Saccharomyces cerevisiae S288C: one gene and its partner. Changing the gene in region 1 together with any one later gene gives a genetic interaction. Each region holds a gene or a part of one and is shown in the gene's direction. Other genes may lie near its edges. The genes, in order: YGR266W and PMP3.

Evidence for each region.
Region 2: mutations in YGR266W (region 1) and PMP3 together harm fitness more than expected from each alone (negative genetic interaction), as found in Saccharomyces cerevisiae (2 studies listed by BioGRID).

What each region holds. Positions count from the first base shown.
Region 1 is NC_001139.9:1,020,758-1,029,501, forward strand, and holds YGR266W (uncharacterized protein), read left to right. Parts: upstream 1-1,898; coding exon 1,899-4,004; downstream 4,005-8,744. Other genes in the region: methionine--tRNA ligase MES1, read right to left, coding at 1-1,096; FOL2 (GTP cyclohydrolase I), read right to left, coding at 4,247-4,978; HUA1 (Hua1p), read right to left, coding at 5,300-5,896; chromatin segregase YTA7, read left to right, coding at 6,613-8,744.
Region 2 is NC_001136.10:1,011,494-1,018,322, reverse strand, and holds PMP3 (Pmp3p), read left to right. Parts: upstream 1-4,679; coding exon 4,680-4,847; downstream 4,848-6,829. Other genes in the region: MTH1 (Mth1p), read left to right, coding at 2,621-3,922; triglyceride-associated lipolysis regulator TLD1, read right to left, coding at 5,364-6,071; YDR274C (uncharacterized protein), read left to right, coding at 6,363-6,734. UniProt on the Saccharomyces cerevisiae protein: Plays a role in the regulation of membrane potential. Could mediate a proton leak.

The sequences.
Region 1 (8,744 bases):
GTGGATTGATCAATTCAAATGGATCTAACAGGGCACCACATTTGTCACATTGATCCCCACGAGCATCATCGTAGTGACATTTTGGACATTCACCTTCCACGTAACGATCAGCCAGATAAGAATTATGAACTGGACAGTACAATTGCTTCATAGATTGTTCTTCTAGATAACCATTCGAATTTAGCTTTGTAAAAATATGTTGAGCAATCTCCGTTTGCTTGTCCGTCGTAGTTCTACCGAAATAATCAAATCCAATTTGGAACCACTTGTAAACGTCACTGTGGATTTTGTGATATTTGTCACATAATTGTCTTGGTGTCACACCTTCCTCCAAAGCTTTAGTTTCCGTGGCAGTACCATATTCATCAGTACCACAAATAAACAAGGCATTATAATTACGTCCCTTACAGTAACGAGCAAAAATGTCTGCTGAAAGAACACTACCGATGATATTACCCAAGTGTGGAACGTTGTTGACATAAGGTAATGCCGAAGTGATCAAGATGTTTCTTTCGTTTGGCTTAGGCAAAATTTCTGAATCCTTTGGCTTAACTGTTAAGTCAGCTTGGATTTTCACTGCGCCGATGTTTTTGAAAGAAGAAGAATCACGTGGAACATGCTTTTTAGCCAATGCTACAGCGTTATGCACTTTGGATGGCAATTCTGGGAATTTAGAATGAACTAAAGAAGAATTTAGAGCATAAACGTTAGCAAACAGGATCAAATCTGTAGTAGTCAATGGTTCTTTTAATTCGACCAAGTAATTTTCAATGGCCTTATTTGTCAAAACCTCGACATGTTGTTGAGGTAATTCTTTATGATATAACAGGTTTTGTAAAGATGCCAATGCAAATTGATACTTGTCGGAAGTTTGACCTTCAAAATCATCCATGACATATCTTAGAATAGCGTTAGCATCAAACAAAAGGAAAGGTTCCTTTGTATTGCGCAATTCCATGGCAGCATTATCATTGTCAACTTCAGGCTTTAAATTTTTGCTTGCATATTCAAGTGCTAGGGCAATCTTCAAATTGTTCGCTAACTGCAAATGGGCAGGATGTTTCTTCGATTTATCAAAGGAAATGAGGAAAGACATGCTTGTTGTAAATTTCCGCTTTTTTTTCAAGTTTTATTCCTCCACAAAGATGCATATCAGGAAGCAAATCATCATTAACATTAGACATCGAAGAAAATTTGTCATCGTCTTTTTTTTTTTTTCGTTTTCTCTTTCGATAAGTTGCGTACAGAAATTTTTTCTGCCTCCGAAATCATTCGTGCCTCGTGATATTGAGAAGAAGTGACTATACTCGGGCAATGCATAAATGATCGTTTCGGCGGCTAACAAAGATAATCATAGCAAGTCGACAGATCGATAGGATACACCATTATCATCACGCTACGCGTTCTCGGGAAAGCTTTGACTAGAATATTTTTCAAAGTTGAATTATATTATGTTAATCTTTTGACTTCATGCCTTTTGAATTCCCCTCCATAGGTTCCCATTTTTGACTTCAACAATTCCTACTTCAAAATCCCTGGTTAAAGAAGCCTTTCCTCAGTTTGTACAACTATGTCCGCTGTAGCTAAAAAGTTAGCATAATTCATGTTTTATGCCTGAGACGTTTTAAACTAGTACTTAATCTCTATCAATAAACTTAACCCAGAAGGTCTCAAGATTAAACATGTTATTTTTTCGTCCTTTTATTGAAAAAAGTTGAAATAGCAGCGTCGGGTAATACCAGGAATATATTTTTATCGGCACGGCTACATAGCGAAGGGTCCATTAGTAAAAATGAAAAGAAATTCCACAAAGTTAGTGAGGGGAAAGTCCTACAGAAGGTCAAAACAGTTGCTACCGGGTTCAAAGTACTCAATTGAAAATAAACACTGCTACAAAAATGCATGCTACAAACTGGTTCGACGATTGGAACCCAGAAGCTCTTTATAGAGACGATGTCACTGGCTGCGATGACTGTTCCGAAACTTCGCCAATTCCAAAGTCTGGTATTATATGTGGACCGATATTAAGACTCATCAACATGGATTTTAAGGAAAAAACCTACGAGGGGTCTATTATGGTGGTAGTTAGAGGCGAGGAAAACTTTCCGAAAATTACCTATCAGCTAGGGCCCTCTTTGCCCTCTGAGGATGAAGACATCGAAGTTAACGAGGCATTCTTCGAAGGTAAACTTTTTCATAAGGACATTTTAAAAGATGATAATATATGGTTTTACAGGTATGAGATTAAGTTGCCCATGTCCAACTATGAGCAGATGGTAAAATATGCTGTTGACGGTACTATGGAACCACATTATAGGTTCTTCGTTCCCTCTTTCACTCAAAATTCGAACGTTATCTCCTATTCATGCAACGGATTTTCACTGAGCGTAGATACATCGAAATTCAAAGGTTCTCTATGGTATGATGTCCTTAAAAAGCATCGATACGTTCATTATCATGCCATTCTCGGCGGCGGAGATCAAATTTACTCCGATAATATTAAACTGCATGCGCCAAATCTTAAAGCTTGGCTGGAGACAAAGGACCCAATTAAGAAGTATAATACTCAGACCACTGAAGAAACAAAAGAGCAGATTAGGCAGTTTTATTTAGAACACTATTTAAACTGGTACGGTTACGGTCACTGGTATGGTTCTACCCCAAAATCCAAGACCACCCAAAAATGCTTTGTCAAGTCACTAGCTTGTATTCCTGCCATTAATGTCTGGGATGACCACGATATTATTGATGGCTATGGATCGTACAACGATTCCTTCATGAAGACTGAAAATTTCCTCACAGTGGGAAGAATGGCTTACCGATACTATATGCTTTTCCAGCAGCATGTCAGTGCTTCTAAACAAGATGGCGATGAGTATGCTTATCTCAAGAGCAAACAATGGATTCTAGGTAATGAAAAAGGGAGTTCTTATATCGGTGAAAGGTCTCACTCAATATTCTCTTGGTTGGGTCCGAAAATGGCCATGTTAGGGTTGGACTGTAGAACTGAGAGGAAATTACACGAGATTTTCTCAGAAAGAAGTTATTCCTTAATTTGGGAACGTGTCGAAAGGGAAATAAAAAATTTAAAAGGTGGCCACTTATTGCTGATGCTCGGTATCCCGATTGCATATCCAAGGTTAGTATGGTTAGAATGGCTTTTTACCTCAAAACTACTGGCTCCAATTAAATATTTATCTAAAAAAGGGATATTTGCTAGTGGCTTCGTTAACGAATTTAATGGAGATGTAGAACTGTTGGATGATTTAAATGATCATTGGTGCGCGAGACATCATAAAAAAGAAAGAAACTACTTGATAATGAAATTGCAAGACATAGGTGCTAAATATGGCGTCAGAATAACCATATTATCAGGCGATGTACATTTGGCATCTGTTGGGAGATTTAGGGCAAAAATTCATAGACACCATCTCATCATGTCTGAGGAGAAGGAAAAGGAAAACACCAGAATTATTGAAGAACCAACGAAAGACGTAAGGCTGATTTTTAATATCATTGCTAGCGCCATAGTAAATACCCCACCGCCAGATGCAATGGCCACGCTATTGCAAAAAAGATGTCGCTTGCATCATTTCGATTTGGAAACGGATGAAGATGCCGTACCAATTTTTGCCAAGGAAGTGGATGGAGTACATAAACGTAAAGAATCATGTTTCATGAACAAGAGAAACTGGTCAGATATTATACCTATAGAAAACCTGTTGAATAATCCCCAATTGAGTAAAGAATTAGGCGTAAAGGTTGGTGATATAGTCATTCCTGGTATCATCACAGAACAGCAAAAGCTACAGAAATTGGAAAACGATGACCAAATTAACTCTTATCCAGTAACTTCTGGTGGCTTGTTTACCACCATTCATGTTGAAAGAGATGCAAATCAAACAAACTCACAAACTGTGAGCTACTGTTTACCCATTCCAGAGTTAACAGTTACCTGCGAACGGTTGTCTCACAAGGGTATCAAACATCTGAATATCACATAGTTTAGTTTTGTGATAATTACAGATTTTTATTTAGCAGTTCAAACTTTTCTATTCATTACTAACGGACTGTCAAGTGCGATGCTGTACCGGAAGTAAATGTATATACTGATTGTTGAAAAAAAAAAAAGCTCAGTCGCGCGTGGCCTTTCTCTATGGAGATTTCTCAAACGATATTAATCCTGTATATCTCTATTAATTTAGTTAATACATACACGATATATCGTCGCTTTTATTTTTTTTTTTCAAATACTTCTTCTTCCTAAAAGAGTTAAAAACTCTTCTCTTGTTTTATGAGCCCTAAACCCTCCAAGCATACAAGAAGTTACCGTAGAAGATCCCGTTTTTTGAATGCCTCTTGAAACCATGCACATATGAGAAGCTTCCATAACAACGGCTACACCTAATGGTTTTAGAATATCACTTAGGGCCATTGCAATTTGCTTTGTAAGTCTTTCTTGAACTTGGAGCCTTCTCGCATACATTTCTGCCAATCTGGCCAACTTACTTAACCCGATGACTTTTTTATTTGGTATATACCCGATATGAACCTTGCCGAAAAATGGCACCAAATGATGTTCACATAACGAGTAAATTTCAATATCACGAACAATAACCATTTCATCATGATCTTCTTCAAAGACAGCATTCTTAATGACATCGTCCATAATGTTCGTTTGGTAACCTTTAGTGAAATAAAGCATGGCTTTAGCGTATCTTTGTGGAGTATCTAGTAGACCTTCTCTGTTGACATCTTCACCCAGTTCGGTCAAAATTGTCTTGATAGCGCCTGAAATGCGTTGAATTCGTTCCTTTTCCTCCTCTTCAGTTTCCTCTGCACGTTGTCTTGTACCCACACTTGGCCAAGAAAACCCATCTCTCTCGACAGGAGGGTTTAAAGTGTATGGAGAGGTAGGTCTAATGTTTAACGGGGTTTCATGTCTTTCTATCTCTTGCACTAATTGGATGTTATGCATTTTGGGATGATTGAAAGTATTGGTTCTAACAAAAAATGAGTCACGCACGCACAATCACGATTGAGGATGGAGTCGTATAATATTTTATGAACGGATGCTATATCGATCAGACGGTTGGCACCGTAAAAATAAATGAAAGAAGTTAAAGAAGGGCAAATCAGTCGGATTATGTGATAAGTATGTAATAGACATGTTTGAAAATTAGGAGCATTAAAATATGCTTTTCATCCTACAGTTGTTCGGTCTTTTTTCTTTTCGGTGAGCGACACAGCTTTTCTACTAAGGCCGTACCGGGTCATCCAAATCCTAAATTTTCATGCGCTAATAGCGTTGAGGCTGGGTGATAATTCTGCCTACACCATGACAAAGAGGACATATATCTTCGTCCAACAGGAATCTGGTGCGTCCGGACCCTCTGCATTCACCACATAGCACGCCACCCAGGCGAGGATCCCCTGGTTGAACGTACAAGGGCCTATTACCCTGCCATGCGTTGGTGTACACGGGCATTGTATAGTTTGTGTAATATGTCGGTGCAGAAACAACGTTATTTTGAGGTGCAAACCTCCTCCAACACGACTTGCAAGATCGTCCATTCTTCAACTTGTAACCCGTATTTCCACACTTGGAACAGTAAAACCTGGGAGGGTATGTCCAGGGCAAGCTAGGATTCTGTTGTGGCCTCGGTGGAGGCCGTGGTTGGGAACTTGTAGGCGTATAAGAGTGTGAGTGAGCATATGTTTGGGATGAGGACGTTGCTGGCATTGTCGAGGGCCTTTGGTGGGGTCTTGATTGGTGCCCTTGCGCCAAGTTAGCTGCTGGTCTTGGTGGTCGTGGCGGTTGAGATTGCAATCTCTCCTCTTCCTTGATTACGTCCTCGTAGCTCGGCAGTTCATCATCATGCGTGTCTTTAGACATAACAGTATGGTTTATACTCGTTTTATGGGTATTTTTTGGGACTGCTTAGTTCTTGACTTGAAGCCTCTTTATTCCCTTGATGGAAGTGTCACTATTAAAGATGGAGGCGGAGGCTATACCGTAGAAAATGATATGTTTGTATGTTCTGCTCTCTTCCCTCTATTAAAAGGGGGAAAGAGAAAAATAAATGGAAAAAAGCGATTAAGCCATAGGGAAAACACTCTTGTGGTGGCAAAGCATCAGATAGGCAGGCAGGAGGAAATGGCAGTGAAGTGTCAAACCAAGCATACTTTCACTGGATTGATTTGAAAGTTAATGCTGAGTTTGAGATGTTTTAAAGAGGAACTGTGGTGATCGGTTATTTCTATTCGCTTTTGTGTGCGTCTTTTCATCGTTTGCAGCTGAACTTGTTGAGGCATTAGCCGCTGAGGAATTTTTTTCTGCCTCTATAAACTTGTTTATTATCACTAAAAACGTACCGTCTGTTATTTTGTACGGCCATGTGTGCGAAAAAGGACAAAGTGGTAGCGAAAGAGCAATATTGGGACGAAAAGGAGCAGAAAAGGAACTGCGTAGGGTCTTAAATAAAGCAAAACGTCTGAAGGATCTTGCGTACTCCTTACTAACCCATTGTTGTTTTCGACAGTCATAAAAAGAAGTTACCACGGTCTATTTCTCTCTTCTCGCTATTTATTCACAATTGGTGCAGAAAGAACATGGCACGAAATTTAAGGAATAGACGCGGTAGCGACGTTGAAGATGCAAGCAACGCAAAGGTTGGGTATGAAACACAGATTAAAGACGAAAATGGCATAATCCATACAACAACTCGCTCTTTGAGAAAAATAAACTACGCAGAAATTGAGAAAGTGTTTGATTTTTTGGAAGATGACCAGGTCATGGACAAAGATGAGACGCCCGTTGATGTTACTAGTGATGAACATCATAACAACAACCAGAAAGGCGATGATGAAGACGATGATGTTGATCTTGTATCACCGCACGAAAACGCCAGAACGAACGAAGAGCTTACTAATGAAAGGAACTTGAGAAAAAGAAAAGCGCATGATCCAGAAGAAGATGACGAAAGTTTTCATGAGGAAGATGTCGACGATGATGAAGAGGAGGAAGAAGCAGACGAATTTGAAGATGAGTATTTGGATGAAGACTCGAAGGATAACAACCGTCGGCGCAGAGCGGCCGATAGGAAATTTGTAGTACCAGACCCTGATGACGATGAAGAATACGATGAGGATGACGAAGAAGGAGACAGAATAAGCCATTCGGCTTCTTCTAAACGTTTGAAAAGGGCAAATTCTCGAAGAACAAGATCGTCACGTCACCCAGAAACTCCACCACCGGTAAGAAGAGCTTTAAGAAGTAGGACAAGACATTCGCGTACTTCAAATGAAGAAAATGACGATGAGAATGATAATAGCAGGAATGAAGCGTTAACTTTAGCTGATGAAATTAGAGAGTTACAGGAAGATAGTCCTATCAGGGAAAAAAGATTTCTTCGCGAAAGAACTAAGCCGGTAAATTACAAATTACCACCACCACTAACTGCTAGCAACGCAGAAGAATTTATAGATAAGAATAACAATGCACTTTCTTTTCATAACCCATCACCTGCACGGCGTGGTCGCGGTGGTTGGAATGCTAGTCAAAATTCTGGTCCCACAAGAAGGCTTTTTCCCACTGGTGGACCTTTTGGTGGCAATGACGTAACTACAATATTTGGTAAGAATACTAATTTTTACAACCAAGTCCCATCTGCATTCAGTGATAATAACAACAATAAATTAATACTGGATTCAGACTCTTCCGATGATGAGATATTACCTCTTGGCGTGACACCGAAAACAAAGAAAGAGAACACGCAAAAAAAGAAGAAGAAAAAACCAGAAATTGCAGACCTCGATCCATTAGGCGTAGACATGAATGTAAATTTTGACGATATAGGTGGTTTAGACAACTACATTGACCAATTAAAGGAAATGGTGGCCTTACCACTATTATACCCAGAATTGTATCAAAATTTTAATATCACGCCCCCAAGGGGTGTTCTTTTCCATGGTCCTCCTGGTACGGGTAAAACACTTATGGCAAGAGCGTTAGCAGCAAGTTGTTCTTCTGATGAAAGGAAGATCACATTTTTTATGCGTAAAGGTGCAGATATTTTATCCAAGTGGGTTGGTGAAGCTGAAAGACAACTCCGTTTGTTATTCGAAGAAGCTAAAAAACATCAACCTTCCATCATTTTTTTTGATGAAATCGACGGATTAGCGCCTGTGAGAAGTTCCAAACAAGAACAGATCCATGCTAGTATTGTTTCCACATTATTAGCGCTGATGGATGGTATGGACAATAGAGGCCAAGTCATTGTCATCGGAGCCACAAATCGACCCGATGCAGTGGATCCCGCATTAAGAAGGCCGGGAAGATTTGATAGAGAATTTTATTTTCCATTACCTGATGTTAAAGCACGTTTTAAAATTTTGCAAATTCAGACCAGGAAATGGAGTTCACCGTTGTCAACCAACTTCATTGATAAATTGGCTTTTTTGACCAAAGGATATGGTGGTGCTGATCTGAGGTCCCTATGCACTGAGGCTGCACTAATAAGTATACAAAGAAGCTTTCCTCAAATTTATAGGTCAAATGATAAACTCTTGGTGGACCCTTCTAAGATTAAAGTCAAAGTTAGCGATTTCATGTTAGCTTTGAAAAAAATTGTTCCGTCATCTGCGAGATCTACTGGTAGTTCTCCTCAGCCACTACCTGAATTAATCAAACCATTACTGGCAGATCAACTTAATAATTTAAAGAACAAGCTGGATTATATGCT
Region 2 (6,829 bases), on another chromosome or scaffold:
AGATATTCTTATTCTAAAAGAAAGAGATATAAAATACACTCCGACTGGACATATTAAACCTTGCCGATATAGCAATGATGAGAGTAATTCTTATGGTTAATGTCACGAGATGAATTGTTATATTGCAAGCATCAGATTAATCATTCAGGTAATAGATCATTGAGTTTACTGTACCCAGATTATTATGTAGCTACGTATCATTCTCCAGTCTGAAACATTAAAGACGCATTGCACATCTGATTACTTCATTTGATTACTAATCGACTATTCATGAAGAATAATAAGTCAATATTCTCACGAATAGTAACTTGAGTTACTATAGTAACAATTTAAGTGTCTCTACTGTATATTAATGCAAACCCTACATACTTTTAAGTCCCTGTTGGACAGGGAAATGTTAAACGAGGAACTCAAACAGTATAATAGCTGAGTTAAAGATCCATTAATTGGAAATACTGCTATAGTCGAATGTACGAATAATAGTAGTCGCCAATTTAAATGTATAGTAACTGCTAGACCCACTATTATGTTCATGTTTAATAAGAACAACTGGCCTGTATTTTCTATATTCCTCTTATATAGCATGAGGAGATTTGCTTTTATTCCAAACTAATACTACATCCTGACCACTGATTATTAATAACACCAGTTTTCATATTACTAATACATTATCATACATGATGCAAAAATACTTTATAAACGGCGAAAAACATTTATCAAATTTAACAGAATCTGAAAATGCAGAGACTGATAATTAATAAAATAAAAACGGTGATTTTTTAAATGAAAGAGGGAATAATGATATCATTATGTGGAATGATCTGCTCCTTTTTGTATTTCCAACAATTTCAGTAAAGTCGTATCTTTCCTACCTAATAATATTGCCATAACAAATAATTTAGCCCCTAAATAGTCATAAGAGAACTCATTGAGAGTCAAAGAAAATCATATTCCCTAACAGAACCTTGATTTGCGACCGAATAATTGGCTTTCTTCATTACATAATGAACGTTTCTTTTAGGTCAAACTATCACCAAGGTACAATCCGATGTAGTGTAACGGCTATCACATCACGTTCTCACCGTGGAGACCGGGGTTCGACTCCCCGCTTCGGAGTTTCTTTTTTATTTTCTAGAAAAATTCACATGCTGATTCATTTACCGTTACTGTTTCACTGTGATGCTACTAGTCATATTCTTCTTATATCAATTTTTTTTCTATTGCTGTTTGCATTACCGCAACATACGATGGGAATAAACAGCACAAGCTGTTGTGTACATTTTTCCTCATCATATAACTACAATGTACATAAGTTAGCTTGAAAAAATTCTAGGTCTCATATTAATGCTTGAAATATGGAAGTATGTCGAATGTTTTATAAATAAGTCGAGAAAAATGGTTATGCTACCAGCTAACTTATATATATATAAGACTCTTTCATTCTTTTCTTTGTCTCTCAAACTTATATTTGTTTACGTTTTGGAGGAAAACTAATTATTTTTTTAATAAAGTAAACATAGCATTTCCAAGGTGCAAACCGATCCCTACCACCAAAATAAGCATACAAGACCGTTACAGCGTTAAGACAAAACTATGCTTCTAGGGGGGGGGGACAAAGCAAGGAAGATTAAAATGAATTCTTCAACTTAGGGGTACTTTAAGAGAAAGAATTCAATACTTGCGTTAGCTGACCACCCCATAGTTCGTTTAGATAAGGATATGGTGTGAAATTCATAGTTGAAGACTCTTGAGGAGGTAGGGAACATCTCTCTTCGCCCACCAAACCCAGTTTTCTCTAATACTCCATATCCAAAAAAGTGTAGCTCTATGTACATTGCCAAGGTTTTCTACTGATCAATATTTGATGGAAAAATATGACATAAGGTATGCGTATTAGTAAACTATTAGGGAGCCGCCGGTACTAATAACATCAAGGCCATCTCACGCCGAGACTTACTTGGACTTTTCTCTATTGTAAAGCGGAAAAAAAGTTATCACCCCGCCCCCTCCTCCGCTCCTCCACTAAAACGATCAGCAAATGGCAGAATAACGCGGTACTAACCAGTTTTTCCGTTCCTTGAAACCCAGTCATACTATGAAGTCCCTAAAATTATTCCGAAATTATTCCCTAGAACAAGCGGGAAAAAGGTCCGGGGAAATGGAGTCCGTGCGAGTTTTGTTAGGATGACTGCCCCACACATTTCCTCATCTTATAATTTTGTGGAAAAATTCATCGTGAGAGAAAATACGAGTCCATTTCTCCAGTGAAACTACCGTAGACATGGAATATCTGCCATTCTACCCCTTATTCAAGTGCCTTTTTTTTTTTTTTTCATCCCACATTTTATTGCTGCCTCAATCTCCATTAAGAAAAAAAATTTATATAACCAAATGACATTTTTCCTTTCTTCTCAAACTTTGTAATGCGCCTGTAACTGCTTCTTTTTTTATTAAAAAACAGCATGGAGTTTTTTAATAACTTAAGGAAACATACAAAAAGATTTGTTCATTTCACTCCAAGTATTTTTTAACGTATATTGAAAGTTCTCAATAGCGAAACCACAAGCAGCAATACAAAGAGAATTTTATTCGAACGCATAGAGTACACACACTCAAAGGAATGTTTGTTTCACCACCACCAGCAACTTCGAAAAACCAAGTTTTACAACGACGTCCATTAGAATCGACTAACAGTAATCATGGGTTTGCAAGCTCCCTACAGGCCATTCCGGAAAACACGATGAGTGGCAGTGATAATGCTTCTTTTCAAAGTTTGCCACTATCAATGAGTAGCTCTCAATCCACGACTTCTTCGAGAAGAGAGAACTTTGTGAATGCTCCTCCGGAGTACACTGATAGAGCTAGAGATGAGATTAAAAAAAGATTATTGGCCTCCTCACCTAGCAGAAGGTCACATCATTCAAGCAGTATGCATTCAGCGAGCAGGAGATCAAGCGTGGCTGAAAGTGGGAGTTTACTTTCGGATAATGCCTCGTCTTATCAATCAAGTATATTTTCTGCCCCCTCTACTGTGCACACGCAACTAACTAATGACTCTTCGTTCTCCGAATTTCCTAACCACAAGTTAATCACGAGAGTGAGCCTGGATGAAGCATTACCCAAAACGTTTTATGACATGTATTCGCCAGATATTCTATTAGCAGACCCATCCAACATTCTCTGTAACGGGCGTCCCAAGTTTACCAAGAGAGAGTTATTGGATTGGGATTTAAACGATATAAGATCGTTATTGATAGTCGAGAAGTTAAGGCCCGAATGGGGTAATCAACTACCGGAAGTAATAACGGTGGGTGATAATATGCCCCAGTTTAGGTTACAATTATTACCACTATATTCTAGCGATGAGACCATAATCGCAACGTTAGTCCATTCGGATCTGTACATGGAGGCTAACTTAGATTATGAATTCAAACTAACCAGCGCCAAATATACAGTAGCGACCGCTAGAAAAAGACATGAGCATATAACTGGTAGAAATGAAGCCGTCATGAATTTGTCGAAACCGGAATGGAGAAATATCATCGAAAATTACCTCTTAAATATAGCAGTAGAGGCACAATGCAGGTTTGATTTCAAACAAAGATGCTCCGAATATAAGAAATGGAAGTTACAACAGTCCAACTTAAAAAGACCGGACATGCCCCCACCAAGCATAATACCGCGGAAAAACAGCACAGAAACAAAATCGCTTCTGAAAAAGGCTTTATTGAAGAACATTCAGTTGAAAAACCCCAATAATAACCTTGATGAATTGATGATGAGATCAAGCGCCGCAACAAATCAACAGGGAAAAAACAAAGTCAGCTTATCTAAAGAAGAAAAGGCTACGATATGGTCGCAATGTCAGGCACAAGTTTACCAAAGATTAGGATTGGATTGGCAGCCGGATTCAGTATCCTGAAGATACTAAAAAGAAACCTTCCCGATGGTTTTTTTGGAGACTCTTCGATTGTATCAATACTATCCCATGGACATCAGTTTTAATAGAGGAGCTCCAAATTCCCAAGGAATTGAGGAAGAAGCGCCAATGATTTATATATACAAACTAGCTGTTGCAGCTTTATAGAGATTTAGTAATAAGAATTTTATGGGAACGTGGTACCGTTATCGCAGTAAAGAGTCAAGGGTAGCGAAGATCAAACCATACGATGACGAAATACCTTTAGTTCTTAGCATCACCAATCGCAGACATCCAACGTATCCGTGCGCGTAATCCTTCTCTTGGTAGTTGAGCACAGCATACAGAAGAAGCCGCGCGCAAGCGGTAAATGTCTTTCCTCCGGCCTTCTAACCACCAAAACCGATCTCGGAACATGGGGGGGGGAAGGTCCTCTGAATCGAAAAACCCGAGACAGCGAGAGGGATTTTGCAGAAAATTACAAAGATCACTATTTACTGCTCCCCTCACTTCCGCAGTCCCCTAATAGCGGAAGATGCAATGGGTGTGGGCTCTGGGTGCCCTTTAACCACGCCCTCAAAAGGGGGTCCTGGTTATTTTGCGATGGGCGCCTCTATAAATACAAAAGAGGAAGTGAGTGTTTTTGTTTTGGAAGAGGGAAAGGAAAAAAAGAAGAAAATTTACTATCGGTTGTTGTTTTTCGCCAGTATAATACAATTGATTATACATTTTGAACTAAACAGCACAGCACAATACAACAATGGATTCTGCCAAGATCATTAACATTATATTATCCCTTTTCTTACCACCAGTCGCCGTTTTTCTAGCCCGTGGGTGGGGTACTGACTGTATAGTGGATATCATTTTGACCATTTTGGCTTGGTTCCCAGGTATGCTATATGCCTTGTACATTGTCCTACAAGATTAAGCTCATTCAATAAACGAAAGTAACTATCAAATGAAATAAGGAAGCAGTATTAGGAAACGGTATCAACATGTTCGGGTCACCCTCATTTTTATTTGTTTCCTTTCTTTTTTTTTGTTTCTCTTTCTCTTAAGGTTTCCTCCCCCGCTGTTAATTTTAACTACGTGTGTATTTTTTAATAATTAATTTTATCACAAAAAAAACTTCTCATCTTTTTTGCCTTTTATCATTTTTGTACTTTTTTCTTCGCTTAAAATACACATGATATAGACGCTTAACTATCTGTCCTGCAAGTTTGTTTATCTATATAAATATAGCCAGTATCATCCGTTTACCTGTGTTGTAGAGTTCCAAAAGATAGAACAGCCTTTTATCAGATGGGTGGCAGACCCTTACCCATATTATCTCTCTTATTTTGTTTTTATTTCTCTCTAGCCTTATAATTATTTTTAGTTTCCTTTCTGTAGCAATAAGTGTTCTTAGCAGTGGCGTTGCGTTGCCTTGACCTTGATTATCAATTTAAGCAGCTTTCTGCTCACAAGCCACTTCAAAACGACTCGTGAATGATTTTTCGATCAATGATATCTTATCATAATTCGGATTTGATAGGAAATCATCATCCTCTTCCTCGTAGTAGGCGTCTTCCCTCCTTTCATTAACAAGTTTATTCTGCTTCACAAATGTAACTGTACTAGTTGAATTCAAACGCCTACTTTTGTTAACACTACCTGAACTAATATCATATTCCAGACCAGCTGTAGTATGATTGATCAATGATTCTGAGGATTCATTTAGCATATTAATTATCTCCTCATCAATAACTATTTCCTCCTTTCCGCTTATGGGACCACTGGTCTTTTCTTTTCCATCTGCCACCGGTAATGATGATCTATTGTAGTGGAATAACTTGCAACCGTAATCAAGCAACCTGCACATGTAGAGGAATAGATCGATCGCGTCCAGTATGATAATAGGCAACAGCAATACGATGACACCCAAAGAGCACATCAACTGGAAAATGCCAAACATTAACATCAGTCCTGATCTTATTTCGGATAATATCCCGCAGTGCCACGTCAAAGATAGTACCTTATCAAAGGCGTGGTTGATAATAACAAGTGCTAATCGGCTATTTGACATGATCTCTTCCTTTCCTGATGAGTTCTTGGTATCGTGATCGATCACAGTTGAACCTATAAGTTTTCTAAGCTTCGGGAAAAAAAACATTGTAACTAAAGGCAATAATGGATGCAGATGCCTGGCAAGGAAGGAAGAAAAAAAGACAATAGAATGCCGTTGGTATATATTCTCCGGCTGCCCCGTCAAAGGACTTCTAAAAACTAATATCAAGAAAATCAAAAAAAAAAATCAAAAAAAAAAATAAAGGAAAAAAAAAGATCTCTATCTTTATGTCGGTAGATATGACACTCCCTTCACGTTTATCATCTCTTGAACCTTTTCTAGTTCATCTACACCGTTCCTATTATCTTTCTTTTGCCCCCTTCTCTTCCCTCGTACATGTTTTCTTGCCTTTTACATTCCTCACGCCCTACTGACAGCTATTGCACTTTGGCGGCACCACTCAGCCAGACTGCCCGTACCCGTACGATGACCTTCCATGCAGCCACGGCGAAACGCAAGACCGAGCATTCGGGAATCAAGGAATCTAACTTGCATTTGTCCCGGGTCCTACTAAGCTCTTTCTGCCGTGCAAAAGGACGTTTCGTTTCGTTTTTCATATGCTATCCATTTCCTTTTGGGCTAACTAGGTTTCCGCGGGTTTTGTGGTCAATAGGACTCGACAAATCATTATTTACGCGCGTGCATTTTTCGCCATCATTCTTTTCCCTTCTTGCACCACTACAATTTTCCGGGATTGTACGATCGTAGGAAACTACTTACCGTCAGCGTTGCTCAAAAAGGCCCACATTATTTTCTTCCGTTAGTCCTGTTTTTATATTGTCCTGAAGTTTCCCGGCGCTAAC